Rattus norvegicus: one gene and its partners. The protein of the gene in region 1 interacts with the protein of each later gene in a pairwise test. Links are inferred from orthologs where the notes say so. Each region holds a gene or a part of one and is shown on either strand. Other genes may lie near its edges. The genes, in order: Mapk3, Dcc and Dhps.

The links.
Region 2: the proteins of Mapk3 (region 1) and Dcc interact in a two-hybrid assay, tested with the Homo sapiens proteins (2 studies listed by BioGRID). The link is inferred for Rattus norvegicus from reciprocal best matches to the Homo sapiens genes MAPK3 and DCC.
Region 3: the proteins of Mapk3 (region 1) and Dhps interact in binary tests that used the Homo sapiens proteins (3 or more experiments, as listed by UniProt). The link is inferred for Rattus norvegicus from reciprocal best matches to the Homo sapiens genes MAPK3 and DHPS.

Annotation. Positions count from the first base shown.
Region 1 is NC_086019.1:190,795,998-190,799,747, reverse strand, and holds the start of Mapk3 (mitogen-activated protein kinase 3), read right to left. Parts: upstream 2,555-3,750; 5' UTR 2,521-2,554; coding exon 2,348-2,520; intron 1,431-2,347; coding exon 1,248-1,430; intron 1-1,247.
Region 2 is NC_086036.1:67,845,618-67,849,267, forward strand, and holds part of Dcc (netrin receptor DCC precursor), read right to left. Parts: intron 3,140-3,650; coding exon 2,819-3,139; intron 1-2,818. UniProt on the Homo sapiens protein: Receptor for netrin required for axon guidance. Mediates axon attraction of neuronal growth cones in the developing nervous system upon ligand binding. Its association with UNC5 proteins may trigger signaling for axon repulsion.
Region 3 is NC_086037.1:39,989,134-39,992,883, reverse strand, and holds the start of Dhps (deoxyhypusine synthase), read left to right. Parts: upstream 1-1,465; 5' UTR 1,466-1,539; coding exon 1,540-1,746; intron 1,747-2,147; coding exon 2,148-2,312; intron 2,313-2,991; coding exon 2,992-3,113; intron 3,114-3,195; coding exon 3,196-3,292; intron 3,293-3,373; coding exon 3,374-3,460; intron 3,461-3,750. UniProt on the Homo sapiens protein: Catalyzes the NAD-dependent oxidative cleavage of spermidine and the subsequent transfer of the butylamine moiety of spermidine to the epsilon-amino group of a critical lysine residue of the eIF-5A precursor protein to form the intermediate deoxyhypusine residue.

The DNA of each region.
Region 1 (3,750 bases):
TGAGAGCTGGGGCTGGTGGCACCCAGGATCTCTATGAGTTCAGGGCTAGCCTGGTCTACATAGGGAGACCCTTTCTCAAAAAGAAGAAGAGAGAACAAGCATATGCAGATACACACACATGGACCAACCCTGCCGCTTTACAAATGTGGAAGTCCGGAGGTGCAGAGACCTGCTGAAGGTCATGCAACAAGACAGGAGTAGTCGATTTCCTGTGGTCAGAGCTGCAGAGGCTGCAGAACAAATCCTGGGATCGGGAGGGGTGGGTAGGGAAGAGGCCATGGGTGCTACAGTCTACTAGCAATGGCGCCAAGCAGGAAGTACATGTGGACAATGAACTAAATGTCTGAACTAGGCAAGCAGTGTCAAGCAAGGGCAACAAGGGCTGGACTACCTTTCCTGGTCAAGGTACAAGGCCGCAGGTAATCAGGGTGGGGCTCTCAGAAGAGTGGGAAGGCTCCAAGAAAGCCAACTGGGGAAGAAGAGGAAGCAACAAACAGGAACAGCTGAATTTAGGCTTTCTTCTATAGGCAGACTCTCAGGGCCCCTCGTCCTTCCTTGAGCCCCTGGCTAGACCAGGAGTGCAAAGGCGTGGCTCCGCCCTGTGAGTCTAGGGTCTTCAGGTTCCTCCTCTTAACAATGCAAGGTGGTGTGAAAGCCTCCACCCTCTCCACGTTGGAGAAAGTATCGCCCCTCCCCCACAGAAGGCCCAGCAAAACACAGAGCCTCAGTTTCCTCATCTTAGAAATGGACGCGGTAAAGCTCATCACACAGGGAAGCTAAAAGGTTGAATTAGAACCAAAGCGCTAGGCATGCCCAATGCTGGTTTTCTTCCTCGCTTTCAATCCAGTGTGAGGTCTCTAAAGAATCGTGAGTCTGTTGAGCAAGAAAGGGCTGTGGGCAGAGACTGGGTCATGTCACAGAACTGCAGATGTCAGAAGACAAAGCTCCCATAGAGATGGTTTGCCCAGCATTCTCCCCTCCCCACACACCATACTGGGGCACAGAGCAGAAAAGGATGTGTTCAAGGCCACTCCACTTGGCTGCAACAGACCAGGATCCAAGGCCTGCCAGGGTGCTCTTCTGCTCCGTAGACTCTCAGCTAAAAAGTTACTTTGCTGGGTTTTTAAGTTTTTTGGTTTTTTTTGGTTTTTTTTTTTTTTTTTTTTTTTGAGGGTGGCACAACAGACGACAACAGAAAGCAAAGCCAAGCTCCTTAGCCTCGCTCTGGAGCTGTGGCTAAAGGATACACATCTCTCATGGCTTCCAGGGTGGGTGCTCTGAGGATGTCTCGGATGCCTATGACATTCTCATGGCGGAATCGCAGCAAGATCTGGATTTCTCTCAGCGTGCGCTGACAGTAGGTTTGATGCTCGAAGGGGCTGATCTTCTTGATAGCCACTCTGGTCTTGCGCACGTGGTCATATGCTGAGCTGAGAGAGCCAGAGAGATGTGTGGCCTTACAAAGGGGGAATCCAGGCCTGGTGGCCCCACCCAGGCCTTGGCAGGGACCGGAGAGAGCAGGAGAGGGTTCTGGCCAAGTGTAAACAATGCTGGCTCCTTCCTGCTGTGAAGGCCTGGAATCTCCAGGGGGAAAGCTGGGGACCAGCCAGGCAGCCTTTCAGTGACTTCACAAACAGAGGAAGAGAGTGGCCACTCACTGACTTCCTTTCTCCTGGACCCTCTTACATTGTAGTTGCCCTCACCCTCCTCCCCTTTCCTGAGCTGGACTCTCTCAATCCAAGACAGGTCCAGGGGATGGGAGTTAAATGGAGAGAGTGGATGAAACCCAGAGGATTCAGTAATGGGACAGGGGAAGAGATAAGAAGGGGTAGGTCTGTCTCCCGGTGAGGTTCCTGGGTCAGAGCTGTTCCCATAGGAACAAAGGCCCAGAGCACAGAGTGGGGCAGCGAGAACTCACAAACCTGTATCCCACAAAATAAGGCACATTCTAGAGACCCCTCCCTACTTTGGGCCTCTGGCAAGGCCAGGGGCAGGGGTGCAAAGGTTTGCCCCACCCTGAGCTTTGCTCTGCTCTCTCAAACTCTGTCACAACCTCATCAGGGGGGAACCAAGGCTCCCACTACCTGCTTATGGGTCTCTCACTCCCCCTTCACCAAGAATAGTCATCCTCTTAGCTCCACCTGTATCTCTAGGGTCCCCCAGGTGCCCCTCCCTTAACAATACAAGGTGGCTTCCAAGCCTCCAACCCCCCTTCCCGGAGAAAGTAGCTCCTGGTCCCCCAGAAGTCACTGCACGATCCCTCCCCTGCGACACTCCCCGGACCCCATGTCCCGGGCACGCACCTGCTGTCCCCGCTCTGAAGCCCCCTCCTGGGACACCCCCTCACCTGACCATGCCGTACGCGCCCTCGCCGATGTACTGCAGCTGCGTGTAGCGTGGGCCCACGTCGAATGGCTGCCCCTTCACCACCTCCACCTCCCCGGGGACCACCGGGACGACCCCAGCAGTTCCCCTGGGCTCCCCGCCCCCGCCCCCCGGAGCCGCCGCCGCCGCCGCCATCTCCACTCCTCCCGCCTCCCCCCGCTGCCCCGCCCGCGGCCCCGCCCCTCCCTGCCGCCCTGTCACCGCGGGGCCGCGCGCCAGGCTCCGCCCCCGCCCCCGCGCGCCCCGCCCCCGCGCCTGCCCGGCGAGCCTGCGCGGGCCCGCGATGTCACGTGGTCTACTGAGAGCGCGCCCGGCTTTCCCGCCTAGTTACGCTGTTCCTTCCTTGCCTTGGCCACTAGGGTACTTTAGTCTGCCTAGAGAGTACTGCAGCCCCAGGGGCCAGTGGCCCTGAGTGATGCTGAGGGAACCCACCCCTAAACTTTGGAGACCTGCCTCTCACTTTTTGTTTCATTTACGCAGACAGTATTAATCCAGGCCAGCCCCAAAGGTTCTATGTGGTGGAGGTTGGCCACATCCTCCTACCTTTAGGCCTGAGCCATCATGCAGATTCTGGATGTTAGGCAAGAATCCTATCACTGAGCCACATTTCCATCTTCTCTCTCTCTTTTTTTTTCTTTTTTTCTCTTCCTTCCTTCGTTTCTTCCTTCCTTCCTTCCTTCCTTCCTTCCTTCCTTCCTTCCTTTCTTTCTTTCTTCCTTTTTCTAAGAGGGTCTCTTGACATGGAACTGGCTGTCCTGGAACCCACTATGTAGACCAGGCTGGCCTCAGCATACTAACTCCCCTGTGCTGGGATTAAAGACTGTATCACAATGCCCAGATTCCATAATTTCTTATTCGTTTATTTGCCACATTTATTAATTTTGTGTGTTGGGGCATGAGTATGTCACAGAGCCTGTGTGGAGATCAGAGGATATCAGATTCCTTCTGCTGTGCAGGTCCTAGGTATCCGACTTGGGCTGTCAGACTTGGTAGGAAGTACCCACGTTTGCTGGGCCCCCCTGTGGTGGTGGTGGGCTTATCCTAAGTGTTATAGTGAGGAAGCAGTCTGAAGGGTGGTGGATGGCAGGCAGCACTAGAAAGCTGTGAAGTCAGGTATGCTCCTGTGAAGAGGCAGGCCTGCAGTGGGCTCAGGTGTGTTCTGAGACCCAGTGTTATTGCCTGGAGGACATGCAACCCAGCCCACTTCATATGAGAAGGAGGGAAAGGGTGATAACTGTGAACAAAGATAACTAAATCAATTAAAATGTACAATCTGTTTCTCTCTCTCTCTCTCTCTCTCTCTTACACACACACAGACACACACACAGACACACACAGACACAGATACACACACACACACACACA
Region 2 (3,650 bases), on another chromosome or scaffold:
TTATTGCAAGGAAGATATATGGCCCTTGTGAATTCTAGTGGTTTGGCAATCGTAACCCTAGCAGACATAACATTGATGTATTCTGTGTTGCTGAACAGCATGGCAAGTATTTAAAATGCTGTGAAGAGCCTTATTGCACCGAAATGATACAATCTAATATTAGACTGCACCTCAATGACTACATCCCTGAGCCTACACTTCCACAGAATACTAAAGTCAAAGCCACTTTATTTTAATATCTCACAGGGAAGGAATTGTTCCTCACTTCACGACTGAAACAGTGAAAACATAAAACTGAACCTGGGTTGCAGGAGACACACCTTGTAACATTCAGGGCATTTTCATTAGCAGGATAGAGAAAGTTGCTTTTTGTAAGGGCATCAAGATGACAGCCGGTTTCATTCCTACCATCAGAGGGGCTTTGGCCTTTGGAGAGTTGATAGGAAATATTCACGAGTCCAGAAATATACAAGCTGCCGAAAGTCCAGGTGCATGCATATCCCTATCCCCAGATATGAAACCTTTCCGGATTTCTCAGGACTGATCCCACCTGAGCCTCTTAATTAATGACAGTTATGATTAAATTCACATCCTCCCCATGAGTTATATACATCTATGAAATTCTACAAGCTCATCCTTCACCAGGTCCAGGAAACTTACACCTTGGTCTTCATGATCAGGCTATCTTCTCACCTGTCTCTTTAGGATAGTGGTTCTCAATCTTTGGGTCGTAACCCTTTCTGGGTGGACTGACTTTTTCACAGGTGTCTCAGATCATCTATCCCACAAATTATATATTTGCAATACAATTCATAACAGTAGCAATGTTACAGTTATTAATTTTGGCGATCACCAAAACATGAGGAACTGTGTTAAAGGTTACTGTGTTAAAGGTTTGCACCAGGAGGAAGGTTGAGAAGCACTGTCTTAGGTGTCATTACTAAACAAGGCAGTATTATCCTCCAGTATGATGGACAAAGTTTTGTCTGACTGCTGAAAGGTTTTCAAGAATATGGGACTTACAAATGTCTAACCCAGGTCATTCTGTGGCAAATCCGAATGACTAGCCATTATTCTGCTCATAGCCGATTAGCCAGCAGAACACATCAGCGGAGGGAAAATCTGAGGGAACTGGTTAGGGATGAGCCTATGTTAGTTTGCTATAGCAAAATATCATAAATTGAGTCACCTGCTTATGATAGGAATTCTTCCTCACAGTTTTAGAAGCTGCTCTTCCGAGATAAGAGAGTCAGCAGTATTTGGTTCCCTGATTGCTCCTTCCAGGGATCACCCCATTGACTTGCTATTCCCACAGGTCAGGAAGCATGTTTTAGCTCACTATATGCCCCCTTTTGGAGTCACTACCTATTCAAATGCCAGATCACAGTCACGTCATTATAGTCACTAATATAGATGAGATAAAGAAGTGATCAAGTCATTATAGGCACTAATAAGAACAATGATCTGATACCTCTCCACATGGATCTAGTACTTCCCAGGCGACCAGAAATGCTTAGAAAAACTGAAAAGTTGGGGCAGACACAGCAACAGTTTGGGTCTGAAGAACACCCTGCCCTGTTTACTTAATTTAGATATATATTTAAGGTTCATAGATGAAAGGTAAAGTGTGCACCTTATGCTTTGGCATTGAGCTGGACATGTCAATAAGGGAGCTACACTTGAAAGTACTAATGGGACATTTTTATTTCTCACTTGAGGTCTACATTACAGACTAAGACACTGATTAAAATAAAATGTACTGCTGTCAGGGCTTACAGCATTGATTTTATGAATGTTTAACACTACTGAGTCTGTAAAATAGAATTGATTAGGGTATATTTTTTTCTAAAATCTTACTAAAATATGTCCACCAGTTCATGTAAGCAGTGAGTCCATATGAGTCAGCTATGCTGTGAAAGCAGATTACATGTAGCTATGCACACTGCTGAGCTGCACCTGCCGGCTTTCCATGTTAATTGAAAAAGAAAAATTAGTTAAAAAAAAGAAGAAGACCTTGTGATACCAGTCCTTTAATCTTCATTTAGTTCACGTACAAATGGGCATTGTTGGTAGAAAACCTTATATGTGACATCATGGATGTTATTCAGAAAACTAAAAACAGATGCAGCACAAGAAGAATGTCACCAGGTTTGTTACCACCTATGGATGAAGTTAGTGAGACAAGCGGATGACTGTAACCTCATGCTTCCTGTAGGAGTAGCTACAGTGCCCATTTAGAATTATCCTTCATGGCCATCAGCAGACGTGAGATACATCAACAATGGAACTGCATCAACCCAAAGAAAGGAAGAATGCTGTTACTTTAGACAACTTGTTGAGCCTGGGACATATTATGTTAAGGAAAATAAGTTACAAAAAGAGAAATACTGCATATTTTTACTTACCCGTGGAATCTAAATTATTGAGCTCACAGAATGATAACCAGGAGAGGCTTCATGGATTAGAAGGGTGAGGTATGAATGGGGGCCGAGGGTTACAGCTGTACAGAGTATCAATTTGAAAAAATAAAACATATATATTCTAGACTGATGATTCAGCATAGTGACCATACTTATAATTGTAATGTGTTCCTTGCCATTGCTCAAAGAGTTATTTCAAATATTCTCACTACTCAAAAATGTATGCAAACTTAGCTTGATATAATTGTGAATGACCATATTTCAGCTTATAGATTGTAACTGTTGTAATTAAAAAAGTTAAGTTTCAAAATGCGCACTGCTTTTACAAGGATTATCTCTCATGCCTACTAAGGATCTAAGAGATAAAAGAAGTGGGAGAGAAGAAAATATCTACATACCTGCTACCATAACTTTTGCTGTCCGACTAATAATTGAGCCAGAGTCTCCTAAGGATGCCTCGCATTGGTAAAGTCCTTCATCCGGTTTATGGTGTCTGGAATGAAGTATGTTTTGTATCAACAGAGACCCATTAGGAAGTTGCTGCTTTCTGTCATCCATTCCCAAGGCCAGGATAAGGCCATCTTTCTTCCACTTGATGACTGGGACTCCGCGGTCAGACTCTGCAGAGCAGTTGAGCAGGACGTTTCCTCCCCGCATTGTGACAGCATCAGAAGGTTCAGACACAAAATGAAGTGACGTGAAAGGTTTAATTTGGAAACCTGGAAGGAGAGAGGAGAAGGGAGCTAAATTCATGCAGTCTGAGAAGTCGCAATTTCTACAACATTTCATCACAAGTCTTATTTTTCGAAAAGCAGTTTTGTTTTTTTTTTGTTTTGTTTTGTTTTTTCCTCTAATTATAGATAAATTTAAGAGCAGGGATTCTGTGTTAGACATAAGACAAATTCTTATGTGAACACCGATTAATGAAGCAATTAGCCACAAAAATATTACTAGGAAAGGTAACAATTCATAAGCTATAGATAAGAATATTATTACATCATTCATTACTTGAAAAATTTAGACAGCCGTAATTAGTATTTGCCACATAAAACTGGAAGATTTTAAGTCTGACCAGTCAATAGTGTGATAGCTAAGATATCATGGACTTGATTAAGCTCATTATCTGCATTTTAGTATAGTATTTATTAGTACACTGATTGATAAACCCAGGGCCTAGACAAGTTCTCAGGAGATCATAGGGTTTGCTCACTTTTCTCAGACAGCTGTGCA
Region 3 (3,750 bases), on another chromosome or scaffold:
CCCAGCTGCTCTTTCCTCTGCTTGTAAATCATGGTGACTGAGGTTTATCTGAGCATATCGGCCATCATTCTCTGACTCAGTGCAGTGTGGCTACCTTCACGGAACCTGTTCCCTACAGCAGTAGGTGTCATCAGACTCTCACTTGGGATTCAAGTCCTTTTGCCCTCCTGCATACTACCCATTGCAGATCTCCCTGCAGCCAGATGTGGCATTTGGGCACTGCTAGCCTATAGAGGAGGTTAAACGAAGGGGAGACCTTTATCTGTGCATCTTTGGGGAAATAGTGTCTCTGATATTTTTATAACAGGAATTTTCTGGGTCTTCTGGCCTCAGTCAAAACATCATGTGTTTGGCAGTTTTCTCCAGTCACCTTTTCCCTCAGCTCTGGTTACCAATTCCTCCAACCCACCTTCACACTTAACAGAGTGTGTGTGTTTTCTAGGCCAGAGGACAACCTCAGATGTCACTCTCATTCACCTGGTCCCTAAACCTGTGTGTATGAGCTTGTGCACGCATGGCATGCTTGTGGAGGTCAGACAATAATGTAAACAGGTCCAGACTCTTCTATCATGGGCCTTTGGCTACTGAGCCATTCTTCAGGTCCCATCCCCAAGGATCTACTGGTCTCTGCTTACCCAGAGCTATTACTGGTATTGCCAACCCCCTACCCCTCTTGAGTTCTGGCAATTAAACACACATATTCAATCCACACTCTTGCTTTTTTGCAAAGCAAGGACTGTACAGACAGCTATTTCCCTAGCCATGCCCGTCCCTTTTGTTGAGAAAGGGTCTTGCTTTCAATAGTTCAGGCTGGCCTGGAACTCGAGATTCTTTTGCCTCCACCTCCTGATTGCTGGTTTAGCCACCTAATGGTTTCCTGTTCATCAGACTATAGTCATCAGGAGGGCAGAGTCCATTGCTAAATCGCAGCGCCCAGCAGAGAGCACTATTTCTAGTGTAGATTACACAAACTGTAGAATGAGGGTGCCCCTGTCCTAGGTTCAGTGTATCATTAAAGGGGACGCATGAGAAAAGATTCTCAACAAACTTCTTTCGGCAAAAAGATGGTGGTCATCCCTGTCTCCCCAGAGGCCTATGATCCAGTGAAAATTGAACTATGGTTGTAGGGGGAAAAGAAGTTTGTAGCGACTCGAGGAAGCACCGAAAGAAAACACTCCCATTTGACAAAAGTCTGCAACTAACTTGTCCAAGGGCTCCGTCCTAGAAACAATCACCTCGCTCATGGGGGGACAAGAATATTTGGACAGACAGTTTGCAAATCAGGCACTTTTATCTACTTGAAGCTGAATCTGCCTACAAGGAATAACAAACAGCTCCTGGACCACATGTACGGAACACGGGAATAAAATGGCTGCTACCAGGCCCGCAGGCGCTGCCAGGGCCATGTGACTCAAGTAGCTTCCGGTACCCCTCCCCCGCCCCCGAGTCGCATTTCCTGGGCTCCGGCGGACCAAGCTGAAGGATTTGGCGGGTTCCAGGGCACCGAGACTGCTGTGACCAGAGAACGGCCGAGAGCGCATGGAGGGGACCCCGTCGGGGGCGGCGCCCTCCTCGGCGCTGGCCGCTGTGCTCAAGCACAGCTCAGCGTTGCCGCCCGAGAGCGCCCAGGTCCAAGGTTACGACTTCAACCGCGGGGTAGATTACCACGCGCTTCTGGAAGCCTACGGCACCACCGGCTTCCAGGCCACCAACTTCGGGCGCGCGGTGCAGCAAGTCAACGCCATGGTGAGGCGCCGGGCGACCCGGGTGGGAGGCGGGGCCGCTCCGTCCGCGTGAGTGCCGGGGAGAGGCGGAGTCCTGGTTAACTAGTGTTCCGCGATGGGAGGAGCTTGGGGTTAAAATCAAAACGGGCTTGTAGGAGGAGCTTAACGCTGGGAGAGCCCTGGATTCGCTTTTCCCACTGGAAGGAGTCCTGAAGAGAAGACACTGTGTTGTTCTTAAAAGGGAACAAACCCCAAGTGACAGACCAGGACCTGGAATGGGAGGGTTAGGGTCTGCACAGGGGTTGTGCTTTGGTTTTGTAGTAGTCTCCCTGAGTGCAATCAACGTCTGGAATCCAATTCATGTGGGGTTCCTCCACTGAGGTTTGGAGTTTTAGTGCAACTTTACTGTGCCCCTATGCCCAGATTGAGAAGAAGCTGGAACCACTGGCAGTAGATGAAGATCATCACGAAGACCTGACTCAGAGCCGCCGCCCACTCACAGGCTGCACCATTTTCTTGGGCTATACGTCCAACCTCATCAGTTCTGGCATCCGGGAGACCATTCGCTACCTCGTGCAGCACAATATGGTGGGTCCACGTTAGATCAGTGGCCCCAGCCTCTCTGGGCCAGTAGACAAAAGGGTTATTGTTCATTTAAGAAACATGAAGAGGCTCAGAGATTAAGAGTATTTGCTGTTCTGTGAAAGATTTGGGTTTGGTTTCCAGCAACCACCTGGTGACTCACAACCATCTGTAATGGGGTCTTCTGTGTGTCTGAAGAGAGGGAGAGTGTATTCACATACATAAAATAAATCTTAAAGGGTGTGAGGAAATGGAGTATTGCTTTTAGACATACTGGCAGTTTCTTCCTTCCTTCCTTCCTTCCTTCCTTCCTTCCTTCCTTCCTTCCTTCCTTTGTATATGAGCACACTGTTACTGTCTTCATGTACACCAGAAGAGAGCATCAGATCCCATTACAGATGGTTGTGAGCCACCATGTGGTTGCTGGGAATTGAACTCAGGACCTCTGGAAGAGCAGTCAGTGCTCTTAACTGCTGAGCCATCTCTCTAGACCCATACTGGCAGTTCTTAGACTTCAGCCTCCTTTCTGAGTGCTGGGATCACAAGAGTGTGCCACGTTTTCTGGGTCTGCTTTAGGCTTGAGTTGGTTTTGTCATAGAGCTCATGCTTTGGGTCTGGATGAGCTCAGGCCAATGTTAGGGGCACTACTTTGAAGAAGGGTCTGTGTTGTTGCTGGTGACCACAGGTGGATGTACTGGTGACCACTGCTGGAGGGGTGGAAGAAGATCTCATCAAGTGCCTGGCACCCACATATCTGGGCGAGTTCAGCCTCAGGGGGAAGGAGCTCCGGGAGAATGGGATCAACAGGTGAGGCTCTGAGTAGTGGTAGGAGCAGGGAAGCCGCGTTGAGGGTCCCAGTGTCTGATGCCCTCATGGATCCCATTTCTAGGATCGGGAACCTGCTGGTGCCAAATGACAATTATTGCAAGTTTGAGGACTGGCTCATGCCCATCCTAGACCAGATGGTGCAGGAGCAGAATACAGAGGTAGGGCTGGAAGGGCTCAGGTGGACCTGCATAGTTGAGTCAGAAGACATGGGCTAATACTGATATTCTCCCCCTTGTTAGGGTGTGAAGTGGACACCTTCCAAGATGATCTCCCGGCTTGGGAAGGAGATCAACAACCCAGAGTCTGTGTATTATTGGGCCCATAAGGTGGGTTGGGTGGGGACAGTATTCTTGGGGACAGTACTTAGGCTTTGACTTGCAATGACTTGTTTGACTTAGTAGCCACCTAAAAGTCTCAGTAATCATTCTTGGTCTTCCCAGAGTTAGACGAGGAATGTCGAACAGAGAGGCTAGGCGTCACTTGACTGCAGGGTTCTCCTAGCTATGCCCCTACACTCCTGGGACTCGGTGTAGTGCTTTAGAAGTCGGTGGGGCCTGACCCAGGGTACCATGTGCCCAGGGACAGTGCAGCTCAAGAGTCTGGACAATAAGACACT